Linked DNA regions of Stegostoma tigrinum. The protein of the gene in region 1 purifies or fractionates together with the protein of each later gene. This does not show direct contact. Links are inferred from orthologs where the notes say so. Each region holds a gene or a part of one and is shown on either strand. Other genes may lie near its edges.

The links.
Region 2: the proteins of llgl1 (region 1) and pard6b purify together in Homo sapiens (affinity purification with mass spectrometry; 5 studies listed by BioGRID and IntAct, counting the BioPlex papers as one, with this or other methods). This does not show direct contact. The link is inferred for Stegostoma tigrinum from reciprocal best matches to the Homo sapiens genes LLGL1 and PARD6B.

Annotation. Positions count from the first base shown.
Region 1 is NC_081376.1:25,394,671-25,402,302, forward strand, and holds the start of llgl1 (lethal(2) giant larvae protein homolog 1), read right to left. Parts: upstream 3,318-7,632; 5' UTR 3,147-3,317; coding exon 3,066-3,146; intron 1-3,065. UniProt on the Homo sapiens protein: Cortical cytoskeleton protein found in a complex involved in maintaining cell polarity and epithelial integrity. Involved in the regulation of mitotic spindle orientation, proliferation, differentiation and tissue organization of neuroepithelial cells.
Region 2 is NC_081372.1:40,635,515-40,643,132, forward strand, and holds the start of pard6b (partitioning defective 6 homolog beta), read left to right. Parts: upstream 1-4,169; 5' UTR 4,170-4,356; coding exon 4,357-4,419; intron 4,420-7,618. UniProt on the Homo sapiens protein: Adapter protein involved in asymmetrical cell division and cell polarization processes. Probably involved in formation of epithelial tight junctions.

The sequences.
Region 1 (7,632 bases):
TTTTCATACAATTTATTTCTTTGATTTCCGACCTTAATCTACTGCACCCTGAACTAGTAGTTTGAACCCATCGCCGTGCCCCTTCAGGGTGACATGGTAGCTCAGTGGTTAGCACTGCTGCCTCACAATACCGGAGACCCGGGTTCAATTCCACCCTCGGGCGACTGCGTGTGGAGTTTGCACATTCTCCCCATGTCTGCATGGGTTTCCTCTGGGTACTCCGGTTTGCTCCCACAGTCCAAAAATGTGCAGGTTAGGTGGATTGGCTAAGCTAAATTGCTCAGTGTTCAGGGGTCTGTCGATTAGGTGGGTAAAGAGGGATGGGTCTGAGTGGGATGCACCAAGGGTCAGTGTGGACTTACTGGGTCAAAGGGCCTGTTTTCACACTGTAGGGGTTCTTAACAGCTAAACAGGTCAACTGAGAATCACAGTCAGAGCTCCTGCATGAAAAGTAGCCAGTGTCAAAACACAGGAGTGAGCAAACATCTTGAAAAGTGTTATGATTTCCTTTGACATTAGGGCTGTAACTTCCTCCTTCAGTGAAGAAAAATGACCTCAACCACATTGTATCAGTGATAATGAGAACTGCAGATGCTGGAGAATCCAAGGTGCAAAGTGTGAAGCTGGATGAACACAGCAGGCCAAGCAGCATCTAAGGAGCACAAAAGCTGACCTTTCGGGCCTAGGCCCTTCTAGGTCTAGGCCAGAAACATCAGCTTTTGTGCTCCTGAGATGCTGCTTGGCCTGCTGTGTTCATCCAGCTCCACACTTTGTTACCTCAACCACATCTTCTGTTTCCCACAGTCCTGCCCCCTCATCCTCATGGCTCCAATGAAAATAAAGACAGAATCCCCTTATTCTCATAGCACTCCAAGGGCCTGAACAAACCTTTCATATCCAACAGGGGATCACCTGCACATGCCAACTTGGTCTACTGTATCCACAGCTCCCAATGTGGCCTTCTCTACATCAGCAAGGCCAAGCAAGACTTGGAGACTGTTTCATAGGGCATCTGCTCCCTTCACTCAACAAACAATATCACCTTCCAGTTGCCAACTGTTAACTCCCACTTCCACACCCTGGGTGACATGACCATCCCAGGCCTCCTCCAGTGCTACAATGACAACGCCTGGAACCTGGCAGACAACACTTCACATTCCACCTCACAAACCTACAGCCCCATGGCCCAAATATGTAATTTAGCAGTTTTAAAATCTCCCCACCCCTGCCCTCATCCCCATCTCCTTGATGTCACACAACCTGTCTGTCTTATCTCCCACCTATCTACCCCAACCATCCCACTGACCAATGCCCACCACTCCCTACCTGCATTCACTCAACACCATCCCACATACCTTCACCAGCCCCACCTCTCCTGTTTATTTTCCAGCTCACGTCCTCCCATTTCTGAAGAAGGGTCCTGACCAGAAACATGAACTTTCCTGTTCCTCTGATGATGCCTGGCCTGATGTGCTCCTCCAGCTCCACATTTATCTGACGCCAGCATCTACAGTTCTTGCTATCTCATCTTGCAAAGTATGTCTGCTGTGAGAACAACATTTACAAGAGAGATTTGGAAGTGGGATGGTGAAAAGACATGTGCAATAGCACAAAATGCTTTCTAAACTGTGCTAAAGCCTTCTGTGCACAAACACCAGGTGCAGCCCGACACAACTTTTACACACATCTGGACTTTGCAGCACTGCACACTGTCGTTAAGCTGGCACCCCTTCTGGAACATGCCTATGCATAGAAGGTCTGGCAGCAATGTGGTATTATAGTCGAGGATGGTCCTGATGCAGCACAGCGATGAAGCATTTCCTGCGCTATGGGCTGTACTTTGGAAGGCTCAGAGATAAATCTCTGCACCTGGAAGGCCAGCACCACAGTGAAAGGTATTGTTGGTTTGCCCAAAGTGATGTTCCAGTGCAAAGAGGTGCCCTCAATCAAATGTTGCACAAACTGGCTTCCCCCCCACCCCAAGATTCAGGGCTACATGACAAGTGTGCTCTAAAGCTTGGGACATCCAATGCCCATCCAGTGAAGAAATGCCATTGTTTTGGAAAGTACATAGTTTCTGGTCACATTTGTTAAGTGCTCCAATTCTGAACTTTGTTAGAGGCATCCAAGCATTCAATGCTGAAATGAAATCTGTGACTTTACTCTTCAATTTACAGTTCAAGTTGGACATTACCAAAGTGTGCTAATATAGATAGTTATTGCTTAAAGTACCACCACAAAATTAATTAAGCATGTCACAATCAAGCTTGTCAAGCAATGCAAAGGCCAATAAATCACTGCCACTCTAAAACCAGCTCTCAGGACACATGATCTCACTGCAGTTCTCTCCTTTCCTTTACGTAAGGAGCCTTGCCAGGCATCTCACAATAACCAAAATTAATAACCTGACTTTTTAAAAAAGAAGCACTGAAGTTAAAGCCAAGGTTGAGGTGAAACACCTGTAAGGCAAAATTAATCAGAAGATAGGTGCAGAGGAACACGAGACCCTCTTTGAGGGTCACTGGCAAGAATTAGTTGCATTGGCACAGTGTGGGCATCAGAGACCAGACCAACATTTACTGTCCATGGCTCATGGCCTTTGAAAAAGTAGCAATGATGAACTGTCTTCAGAATTACAAGCAGGTGGCTTGATAGACCATTTGTTGAACAAGTTAACAGTGAGCCTATACCTGTACATGGCAATTGATGGCAGGCTCCTCCCCGAAAGTGAGCATCAGTTGTTACATTAATTACTCGCTTTATGGCTATCATTGCCAGCACTAGCATCAGTTGAGAATTTAAAGTCGCCGGCTATTATGCTGAGATTTGAACAAATCTTTAGGTCACTAGTTCAGACCTCTGGATTACTGGCTCTGTCACCCAAAGGTTAAAATATAGTTTCATCTCCCACTTACCCACGCCCCCTCCTCTACACCCCATCCCCCTTCGACCGTCCCTCCTTCCTCCCTCCCCACCCTCCACTATACCCTATCCCCCACCACCCTTATCCTCCCCAACCCCCAGGCCCTTGGCCTCCCCTCCCCTCCCCTCACCCACGCACCCACCTTATTGAAGGCGAAAAGCTCCAGTTTTAGTTTCTCCCGCTGCGGGTCGTTGCCCGGCCGTCGGAACCGAAACTTCATCATGATCCCAGGGATGGTATCTCGGTGGCAGGATCCCCACCCCGGTTTCGGTGGGCTAGCTCTGGTTGGTAAGATTCAAAGATTCTCTGTCCTCCGCCTCGCTTCTTTTTTAGGGGCGCGCGGCCGCCTCTGATCCTTTTGTGGCGGCTCCGACCCGTTAGCTCCGCCCCTGCATATACGGGCCGCCTATTGGCTCCTCCCACTGGATTGCCATCAGAGACCCCTCGTCGAGACCAATTAATGAGCAGAAGCCTCTTTCCCATGTGACCTGGGAACAACCAATCCACCTCTTGGTCCGTCTGTTCTTGCTGCATCCTGGGAAATGTAGTTTATACGGCAACAAACTTATTCAGCCGAGCTGATGCGATCAGAGGAGTTGCTGGAAAAGCTCAGCAGGTCTGCAAGCATCTGTGAAGAAAAAAATCAGAGTTAACGTGTCGGGTCCGGTGACCTCAGAAACTGATGGTATGGATGCTGCAGAGGAGCTTGCTTCCAACCTTTATCATTTCGTCCTATTACTTTTGTCCTCACGTAATTACCTAGCTTCTCCTTCACTTCATTCGAGCTATTGACCTTGAGCAGAGACCGCAGAATCTTAATTTCACTTTTTGGTTAAATTTCCTCGAAGATTCATGACTGTCATTGTTATGGCACCTGGAAACATCCTTGGTACATCTGCCCTGTCAACTGCTTTCATATTCTTATAGAGACTCAGTTTGTTTTGTTTTGGATAGGCATAACTCTCAAGTTCTAGTGTTATTCTTTTCAATTTGATTTATTACTGTCACTTGTACATAGATACAGTGAAAACTTTTGTTTAGCATGCATTACAGGCAGATCATACCATACAAAGTGCATTACAGAAATAGAATCTGGCTGTAGAGAACATAGAACATAGAACATAGAACAGTACAGCACAGAACAGGCCCTTCAGCCCACAATGTTGTGCCGACCATTGATCCTCATGTATGCACCCTCAAATTTCTGTGACCATATGCATGTCCAGCAGTCTCTTAAATGACCCCAATGACCTTGCTTCCACAACTGCTGCTGGCAATGCATTCCATGCTCTCACAACTCTCTGCGTAAAGAACCTGCCTCTGACATCCCCTCTATACTTTCCACCAACCAGCTTAAAACTATGACCCCTCGTGCTAGCCATTTCTGCCCTGGGAAATAGTCTCTGGCTAGAAGATGTAGAAAGAGCGAGATCAACAATAAATAAAAACCAAAAGAACTGCAGATGCTGTAAATCAGGAACAAAAACAAGTTGCTGGGAAAGCTCAGCTTTTCTGGCAGCATCTGTGACGAAAAAAATCAAAGTCACCCTTCCTCAGAACTTACGCTAGCTAACAAAAAGTCAATTTATATGCAGAAAATGGGGGTTAAGGTGTAAATGATGGGATAAAGGATAGATCCCAAAGAGAGAAAGAGTAGTTGGATCGACAAAGGAGTTGATAACGATCTGGCTGGTAGGGCTAATAGTTGTTAATGAGGAACAAAAACAAAGTCGCTGGAAAAGCTCAGCAGGTCTGGCAGCATCTGTGGAGGAGAGAAAAGAGTTAACGTTTCGGGTCTGGTGACCCTTCCTCACAACTGTTAATGAGGACTGTTACTGACTAACAGTCAGTAGTGTGTAATGGCAAGCTATGTGATGTAACAAGGCCTGGTGTGCGGGGTAGGGGGCTGGGACATGAGAGAGTCTAGGCCCTAAAATTATTGAACTCAGTATTGAGTCCAGAAGGCTGCAGGGTCCCCAAGTGGAAAATGAGGTGTTGTTCTTCCAGCTTGCACTGAGCTTCGCTGGAACACTGCAGCAAGCCAGAGACAGAGATGTTGGCCAGGGAACAGGGTGGTGTATTAAAGTGGCAGGCAGCAAAGTGGCAGCTCAGGGTCTTTTTTGCGAGCAAAACGTAGATGTTCTGCAAAGTCGTTACCTAGGCTACACTTTGTTTTCCCAATGTAGCAGAGCTCACATTGTGAGCAGCAAATGCAGTAGACTAGATTCTGGGAAGTGCAGGTGAAGTATTGCATCACCTGGAAGGTATGTTTGAGCCCTTAGATAGTGGGGAGGGAGGAGATAAATGGGCAGGTGTTACACCTTCGCCGGATGCAGAGAAAGGTGCCGTGGGACCATGGGGGGCAGTTGGGGTGACAGAAGAGTGAACTAGGGTTTCCCGGAGGGAACTGTCCCTCTGAAAGGCAGACCAGGGATGGGAGTGGAATACATGCTGGAGGTGATGGAAAAGGCGCCCGATGATCTTCTGGATGTGGATGCTGGTGAGATGGTAGGTAAGGACAAGGGGATCCCTATTGCTGTTGCGAGAGGGAAGAGAAGGGGTGACTGCAGAAGTGCGAGAGATGTGTAAGACCAAGTTGAGGGCCCTGTCGACAACAGTGCTGGAGAATCCTCGGTTGGGGAAGAATGTGGACATTTTGGAGGCTCCCTTGTCAAAGTTAGCATCAGAACATACACCACGGAGACAGAGGAACTGAGAGATTAGGACGGAGCCTTTACAGGAAGCGGGGTGTATAGTCCAGGTAACTGTGGAAGTCAGTGGGTTTATAGTCTATATTAGTGTGCAGTCTATCCCCAGAAATGGAAACAGATGTCAAGGAAGGGAAGGGAGGAGTCAGAGGTAGACCAGGTGAAAGTGACGGCAGGGGAAATTGGAAGTGCTTCAATTTCTCTGTTATCCTCACCAAATCAAACACTTATTTTCCAAGGACATGGCCTCCTTGTTCTTCTGACCAAATTATGCCACATTGCCTGAGAACTGGCTGACAGACCAGAAGCAGACTGAAAATAAATGTGTCTTTTTCCCAGGTGGCAGGCAGGCATGAGATGTGTGAGGCAGGAGTTAGTGCCTGGACCCTAACTATTCACAATTTTTATAAATTACTTGGATGAGAGAACTGACTGCAACATTTCCAAGTTTGCTGATTACACATAACTAGGCGGGATAGTGAGAAGGAAACTTCAGGGTGATCTAGATAAGTTTTGTGTTGGAAAACACATTGGCACATGCAGTTTAATGTGTGGAAATGTGAAATTATACACTTAGGTATGAAAAACAAAACGGCCGCGTGTTATTCAAATGGTGATATATTGGGAAATGTGGATGTACAAAGCAATCTTGATGTCCTTATAGGACAATCAATGCAAGTATAAACAGACTGGTGCAGCAAGCAATTCGGAAGGCAAATAGTATGTTGGGCTACAGAAATAGGGATGTCTTACTGCAAATACAGGCCTCAGTAAGACCACTCTTGGAGTATTTTACACGGTTTTGGTCTCCCTACCTAACAGAAGATATATTTGCTGCAGAGGGAGTTCAATGAAGGTTCACTGGTCTGAAAATGGGGATAGCAAGACTGTCATATGTGGTGCAATTGGCTTGACTGGCCTGTATTCTCCAGGGTTTCCCCTGTTTTGGATGTCTAAATCCAAGTATCACAGACTCAGAACAAGGGGTATACCATTCAGGACTGAGATGAGGAAATATTTATTCACTCAGACGGTGGTCAAACTGTGGGATTCTGTATCACAGAAACCTGGGTCACTGGGATATTCAGGAAAGATTGATTTTTTTAGATATTAAAGGCATCAAAGCATATGGAGAGAAAGTGGGAATGTGACATTGAGATTGAGGATCAATCATGATCCTATTGAATGGCAAATCAATCTTGTCGGGCCAAATGGCCTACTCCTGCACCTAATCTCTTTGTTTTTATGTTTGTATCTCACTTGCCTATAATAAAAGTCATTTTACTTTTACACACAGATCATTCATTAAGTTTAATGTCTTCTCGTATTTTACTGCAGTTTCTCAATTTAGTATTGTTTCCAAATTTTGAAATAGTACCTCTGTTTTTAGGCATTATATAGATATAAGTACTCTCAATTTTTAAATTAACTTTTAAAATGAATATTGGTTTCTTGATTGTTATCCATGGACCCTTGCTGTTAAAAAAAAAGGAGGCACAGTTGCAGAATGGTGCACTGACCTCTACATCACTGAGGCCAGATGCCAACTCTCCAACACCTCCACCTACCACCCTCCTGGACACCACCCCCGAGGACCAAAGCATCATCTTCCAAATCATCCACAATCTCATCACCTCAGGTGACCTCCCACCCCCAGCCTCCAACTTCATCGTTCCCCAACCCCGCACCACCCACTTCTATCCCCTTCACCAAATCCACAAACCTGCCATCCCTGGTCGACCCATTGTTTCTGCCCACTCCTGCCCCACTGAATTCATCTCCACCTATGTGGATTCCATTTTCTTCCCCTTGGTCCAGGAACTCCGTACCTATGTCCGTGTCACCACCCACGCCCTCCACATCCTGCAGAACTTCCAATTCCCCGGTCCCCAACACCTCACTTTCACCATGGACGTCCAGTCCCTTTACCCTGCATTCCCCATGCAGATGGCCTGAAGGCCATCCGCTTCTCACTGTCCCGCAGGCCCGACCAGTCCCCCT
Region 2 (7,618 bases), on another chromosome or scaffold:
CTATGGCCAGGATCCAGGGACCTGAAGGTTGAGTTGCCTGCCAGGTTCCCAGGTTCAGGATATCTCAGCTGAGCTGCAAAGAGGCTTGGAGTGGTAGTGGAATGATCCAGTTGGCACGGTCCACATAGGTACCAATGTTAATTGGTAGAAAGAGGGCATAGAGCAGCTCGGGGACAAATTAAAACTCAGAACCAAAAAGATGATAATCTCCAGATTACTACATGAGCCACAGGCTAACTGATACAGGTGCAACAAGATTAAAGAGGTAAACGTGTGGTTCAAAGACTGGTATCGGAGAAATGGGTTCAAATTTATTGAACATTGGCACCAGTCCTGGGCAATGAGGGAACTGTTCAGATGGGACAGGCTCCACCTGAATCATGCTGGGCACAGTCTTGGTGAATCACATAACTATGACTTTAAACTAAATAGCAATGGGGGGGAAGGGGTTCAATTGCAATTATGTAGAAAATTATGGAAAAAGTTTAAGGCTGAGGGTAGGACTCAGCAGAGGTTATTAAAGTTTCCAGAATAAATAATAAGACAAAGAGGATGGAAAGTGTCAGGAATCCAACTTCAGGTATAGCAGATATGGGGACAACTATGAGAAGTGGCAGCGATGGAGTGGAATTAACACAGGACTGAGGGTGTTGTACGAAAATGCATGCAGCATATGAAACAAGGTAAATAAGCTTTTGCACAGTTTGAAATTGACAGGTACAATGTTGTGGGGATCACAGAGATGTGGCTGCAAGAGGAACAGGGCTAGGAACTAAATATTCAAAGATACATGTCCTATGGAAAGAACAGGCAGATGGGCACAGGGGGCTGAGCAGTCTTGTTAGTAATAAATGAAATTAAATCAATAGCAAGAAGTGATATAGAGCAAGACATGTAATCTGTATTGAGGAATGGCAAAGGAGAAAATCACATGACTCCAGCAGTAGTCGGGATTTGGGGAAGAAAATAAATCAGCAGATAGAAAGGACACATTAGGAAAGGCACTTTTACAAAAATGATGGGTACTCCAAAATGCACGTAGACTGGGAAAAGCAGGTTGGTAGCAGATCCCAAGGAAAGGAATTTGTAGAATGTCTACAATATGGTCCTTTGATGCAGCTTGTAGCAGACCCCAGTAGGGAACAGGCAACTATAGATTTGGTGATGTATAATGAGGCACACTTGATTAGGCAGCTAAAGGTGAAGAAACCCCATGAGGCAGTGATCGTAATACGATAGAATTCACTCTGCAGTTTGAGGGAGAGAAACTGGAATCAGATGTAATGGTATTATAATCGAGTAAAGATAACAACAAAGACATGCTCCGGAAGCTGGCCAGAGTTAGTTGGAAGGGGAGCCCAGGAGAGCAGGCAGTGGGGCAGCAACAGCAGGAGTTTTTAGGGGTGATGTGGGAGTCACAGCAGAAATTCATCCTAAGGAAGAAGAAACAAGGCAACTGTGGCTGACAAGGGATGTCACAGACAGCATAAAAGCAAAAACAAAATGATGTGGTGAAGATTAGTGAGCAGCCAGAGGGTTGGGAAACCTTTTAAAACCAGCAATAACTAAAAGCACAATAAGAGGGGAGAAGATGAAATATGAGGCCAAGCTAGTTAGTAACAAATTAAGACTACAAAAGTATTTTCAGATATGTAAGAGGTAAAAGAGTGGCACGAATGTGTAATGATTGCAATGAGGTCAGCCAGGTGGACTTCAAAGAATATGAGTTCCCTGATTGGGGCTGATAATCTGGTTCAAGCAGGGATCCCTTGCTGACAGGTAAAAACAGAAGTGTCAGATATCCCAACACTCTGGGAGTTGACTCTTTTGAGGCTGTACCACCGTCAAGGACTTTCCATGTGTAAATAATGGGTGACTTTGTGATGGGATATCTGCCTGTCTGTAGTTATTTCAGAGTGGACTCAAGAGAATCAGGGGGCAGAGGTAAGCATCATTAAAGAGAAGGTGCTGGGGAAGCTAAAAGGTCTGAAAGTGGATAAATCATCCAGACCAGATGGACTACACCCCAGGGTTCTGAAGAGGATAGCTGAGGAGATTGTGGAGGCATTAGTGCTGATCTTCCAGCCATCAGTGGAGTCAGGGAGCACCCACGGGACTGGGAAAAGACTAATGTAATACCTCTGTTTAAGAAGGCAGGGAGACAGAAGACAAGAAAACATAGGCTAGTTAAGTCCAATTATTAAGGATGAGTTTGCAGAGTACATGAAAGTGCATGGTAGAATAGGGCTGTGTCAGGACAGCTTTGTCAAGGGCAGGTCATGCCAGACAAATCTGTTAGAATTCTGTGAGGAGTAACAAGCAAGTTAGACGAAGGAGAGTCAGCAGATTATGTATTTGGATTTCCAGGAGGTCTATGACAGTGTGCTGCACAGGTTGCTGTTAAATGAGTCCTGACAGAGGCAAGGTACTGGCATAGACAAACAATTGGCTGACTTATAGAAGGCAGAGAGTGGAGATAAAAGCATCGTTTTCATTATTGGTTGGGGATCCAACTCTCATTTTTGTGATAGTTTGATTCCTGTGGTACTGTATCAATTACAGATTCATATAGAAAATGGTCTGTTATCCCAACTCTCTATTTCCTGTTGAATTACCAATCCTCAATCCATGTTAATATATTATCCCAACACCTCAAGCTGTTATCTTGTGCAATAACATCTTTAGGTGGCACCTTTCTGAGCACCTTTTGGTTCAAGTTCACTACATCTGCTAGAGATAATGGGAACTGCAGATGCTGGAGAATTCCAAGATAATAAAATGTAAGGCTGGATGAACACAGCAGGCCAAGCAGCATCTCAGGAGCACAAAAGCTGACGTTTCGGGCCTAGACCCTTCATCAGAGGACCCTCTGATGAAGGGTCTAGGCCCGAAACGTCAGCTTTTGTGCTCCTGAGATGCTGCTTGGCCTGCTCTGATGAAGGGTCTAGGCCCGAAACGTCAGCTTTTGTGCTCCTGAGATGCTGCTTGGCCTGCTGTGTTCATCCAGCCTCACATTTTATTATCACTACATCTGCTAGTTCTCTTTTATTTATCCTGTTTATCACATTCTGAAATCATCAAATAAAATGTCAAAAATCATTTCCCTATAATAAAATTATGCTCACTCAGATCGATAGTGCTATAGCTTTCTAAAGGTCCTACTTCTATTTGCTTGGATTTATACTTTCCCAATCTCAATTTCTGATGGGATCAACGTTAATTACACTCTTCCGTTGTAGAACTCTAGCTGTTTTTATATCTCGACAGTCACTATTTTTTTTCCCTCTCCAAGAGCTTAAGTCAATGTGCGATGGCGACGGAGTAGGGAAGAACATTCGGGAAGGAAAATTGAGTTTTAACAGTTGAGAACGACTAGGGTCTGGAAAGGACCAACAAAACGGGGGAAAAATTCTGAAAACTTTAAAATCGTTAGTGAAACTGATTTTAATTAGCTTCGGCCGCAAGCATTTGATCGAAGAATGAAAATCAAATAATACAAAGCATAAAATCCACAACATTAACTAAAGGTCCTTTAAATAGCATCTGAAAAGAGAATATTCATTTCTAAGGTGATGATGCGGACTAAGTCTTTCATTTTAGGCTTTCTTACATTTATCAGTAAAGTTAGGATAATTATGCCGAACAGATAGCAGAAGTTTCAAACTTGTTCACTGAACTTTGAAAAACTTTTGCTTCAGCTGTTACTCTTGGGATGTCATCCCAGACACCTACTTGATACCTGCTTCCTCAAGGCATGTCTGACACCTGGACGCGCGATGGTGTCAACCACCGCCGGGGGCGCGCGCTTTTAAAAATGCACGAAGGCCGGGCGGACAAGGGAACTAAAGAGTAGGAGCTGCAGCTGCTGAAGAATCTGAGATAACAAGGTGTAAGAGCTGGATGAACACAGCAAGTCAAGCAACATCAAAGGGGCAGGAAAGCTGATGTTTCGGGCCCAGATCCTTCTTCAGACAATAGAATGAACGGGTGTCCGCTCGAAATAATGCAGCGGGTTGAGTGCGCGTACACACACAGGTGAAACCGAGGCTGGGTTTCCGGGGCGAGTGACGTCATCTGGTAACGAAGTCGGAGTTTGCCGGTCGTTAGGAGGGGGCGCGAGGCTGAGCTGCGGGTGGGTGGAGGAGGAACTGGGCACGCGCAGCCGCTACTAACCGGCTGGAGGCGGCGGAACCAGTGTTCGAACGAGTTTGGCGAGGGTCTGAGATTAGTCCCGGATCTTTTACGTACTTTACCCCCACCATCTCCCTCATTGCACTCGGGCCGATTCAAATTGCTGCCCTTGGAAGATCGGGCGAGCAGTTGGCACGAAAACGGCCAACAAACGTTCTTCCGAAAATGATCAAGACTCATCACCGGACGGCGTCCAGAAGCCTGGAGACCGTGGAGGTGAAGAGTAAGGTGTGTGTGTATAAGGAGGCGCAATGTCCGAGGAAAGGCGGAGGGAACTTCGTGCTTTGCCAGTCAGTAGTTGTAGGGAAATTAATACCACGGCCCCGGCTAATGTTGGCATAGGATCTGTCAGCAGGCTGCTGAGGTCAAGGTTCAATCTGACGGTCAGATACAGGCCTGTTCCAAAAGGAGATTTTAGAGCAATATTTTATGTTCTTTTCTACGGTTTGTTTATTGGGAGTTGGAACAGGTGACAGTACAGTTCAAGGAAGTAATAAAGGCGTCGAGATCTTTCAGAGAACAGCCGGCGGCGGTAACAAGTTTTTGTGCAGTTCATTGCGTGTTATTTTAATGCTTCTTGCTTTTGTAAGAAATTTCGTAGTAAAGAGGCTTGTAAATGCCAACACAAAGCAATTAGCGATGTAGCTAAAATTCGTGTTCCCATAAGGATTTGTCTGGAAGCTGGTTAAAATGGAAAGGGAATTTGACGATCCTATGTAAGTTGATCGGTTTCAGCCCAAAAAGAAAGCAATCTGCACTAGATGCACACAGGCTTATAAAAATTTTCTTGTTGTTTGTCAGATCTTACTAACTTGTGTTTTATTTCAATGTGAATTAATGTATTTAAAATAAACAGAATTAAGTGTATTAAGTTGTCAGAATGAAAATTTTTGACTGGTTTTTTGACAGAAACCTACTTTGTGTGCAAACAATTTGGCTATTTTATTGTAATATTAGCAATCATTGCCTGTCTGAATAGACTTAACTACATCCAAAACTCTCTCATCGCATAAATGGCTTGATCACAACTTCCTTAATTAGACCATGTTTCCTATGTACTTAAATGTTTATCTACTGATGCCCAGAGTGGATGGGCTCCCAATTTATCCCAATCACAAAACAACTTGAATGTGTAAGAAATCCATATGTTTCTGTTGAAGTGGAAGGTAGTAAATATACTAATGTTATATTTGCTTCAAATTGAATGTATTGGTAATTTATTAAGCAACTTGACAAAAGTGATCAATGTTTTAGGGTTAGGATCCTTCTTCAGTCCTGACTATATTGACTCTGCCTCCAGCATCTGCCTCAGCCACCAGTTCTTGCTATCTCTGAAGAACAATGAAGATTTCTAGCATTGTAAAATTGTCTGATGTAGAAAATTTAATGATTAAATGTCAGATAGCTGGTCCAAGAGTTAGTTGAAGAAAGGAAGTGGTGTAATAATGACCATGAGCTTCTGTTATTTGTTGGAGAAACCAATCTGGTTCGCTAATGTCCTGTAAGGAAAGAAATTGCCATCCTTCCCTGATTTGATCTAAATGTGACTCCAGACCCTCAACAACATAGTTGATGGTTAACTACCAACTGGATGATTAGTGATGGGCAGTAAATGCTAGCCTACCCAGTGACATACGTATCCCAAAATGAATTTTTTTTAAAAAAAGAAAATATTAAAGTGATAACGTCTTGTATATTCTCAGTTAAGTGATCTGATTCAGGGTGTTACTTTTAGTTTATTTTATTGGCTTCTGTTCTGTTCATAATATTTTGGATGCATTGAATTCGTTGCCTTTTCCAACTCCCCTAGTTTTAAAATACATGATATCCTTTTCAGACTTCAAACATCTAGGATATTGTCATGTCTATAGGTGAACTGGAGTATTTGCTCTTTTAAAACCTTTGTAGAAACAAACCACGATCACTTCATCAACCTCTGGATTCAATGCATCATTCTCCGCCTGTTCCACCATCTACAATCTGACCCACTGCCAAGGATATATTTCCCTCCCCAGCCTTATCTGCCTTCTGGAGGGACTGCTCCGTGTGACTCCCTTGTCCGCTCCACACTCCCCACTAGCCCCACCAGCCCTAACATTTTTCCCTGCAACCGCAAGACTTGCCACACCTGCCCCTACACCTATCCCTACACCTACCCCCTCACCTCCATCCCAGGCCCCAAGAAAATCTTCCACATCAAACAGATGTTCACTTGCACATCTGCTAATGTGGCATATTGTACCCGTTGTTCCCAAAGTGGCCTCCTCTGCATTGGGGAAACTAAGCAGAGGCTTGGACACTGCTTTTGTGGAGCACCTATGCTCAGTTTGTGACAAACAACAACACCTCCCAGCCACGAACCACTTCAGCTCCCCTCCCACTCCTTGGACGACATGCCCATCCTGGGCCTCCTCCATGATGCCACTCGAAGGCTGGAGAAAAAGCACCTCCTATTCCGCTTGGGAACTCTGCAGCCTAATGGTCTCAATGTGGTCTTCACAAGCTTCAAAAGCTCCCCAACCCTGACCTCATCCCAAGACCTGGTTCATCCCCGCCTCCTCGACCTGTCAGCTTTCTCTCCCACCTACTCGCCCCTCCCTCCCTTCCTCCCTCCCTCACTGACCAACCCCCATCCCAACTCCCTACCTACACTCACCCTTACTGGCGTCATTCCTGCCTCCTTGACCTGTCCATCTTCTCTTCACCTATCTGCTCCTCTATCCACCTTCTATCATTGACTCCCCTCTCTCTATTTATTTCAGAGCGCCTTCTCCTCTCCCATTTCTGAAAAAGGGTTCAGACCTGAAAGGTCAGCTTTTCTGCTCCTCTGATGCTGCCTGGCCTAGTGTGCTCATCCAGCTCTACAGCTTGTTATCTCAGATTCTCCAGCATCGACAGTTCCTACTATCTCTAAACAAATAAAATGTTAATTTTGATAGACTGTAGAATTATGGTCTGTAACAGTTGCATTCTAAGTTCCAGATTGGATTGTGTTAGTGCATAATTATCATTGAGCTTCGTGCATTGATCTGTGGAGTTAAATTACATGGGTTAAGATTTTAAAGCCCTCCCACCCATGGTTGTCTTTTAGAAGGCAGCACTTTATTTGTTAATCTGTGATTAGCACTGATACCTGGCTCCCTCTCTGTATGAGCAGCTGTAATATTGTTAGAGCTTAACTATGAAATCTAAATGCAGAAATTCATATGAGACACAAAATGACACTCATTTTATAAATTCTATTTGAGGTGTTTTTCTTAGCTCTCTAAAGTTATTGATTTTCCACTGTGAAGAAATATTTATATTTAAAGAAAGCGTTTTTCACAGTTTGTGATATTTTGTTCAGTTACATAGTAATGTCACCCAATTGAAGGCAAGTGAAGATAATGACTTTTGCCTCTATTTAACTGTAAATAACATTATCTCA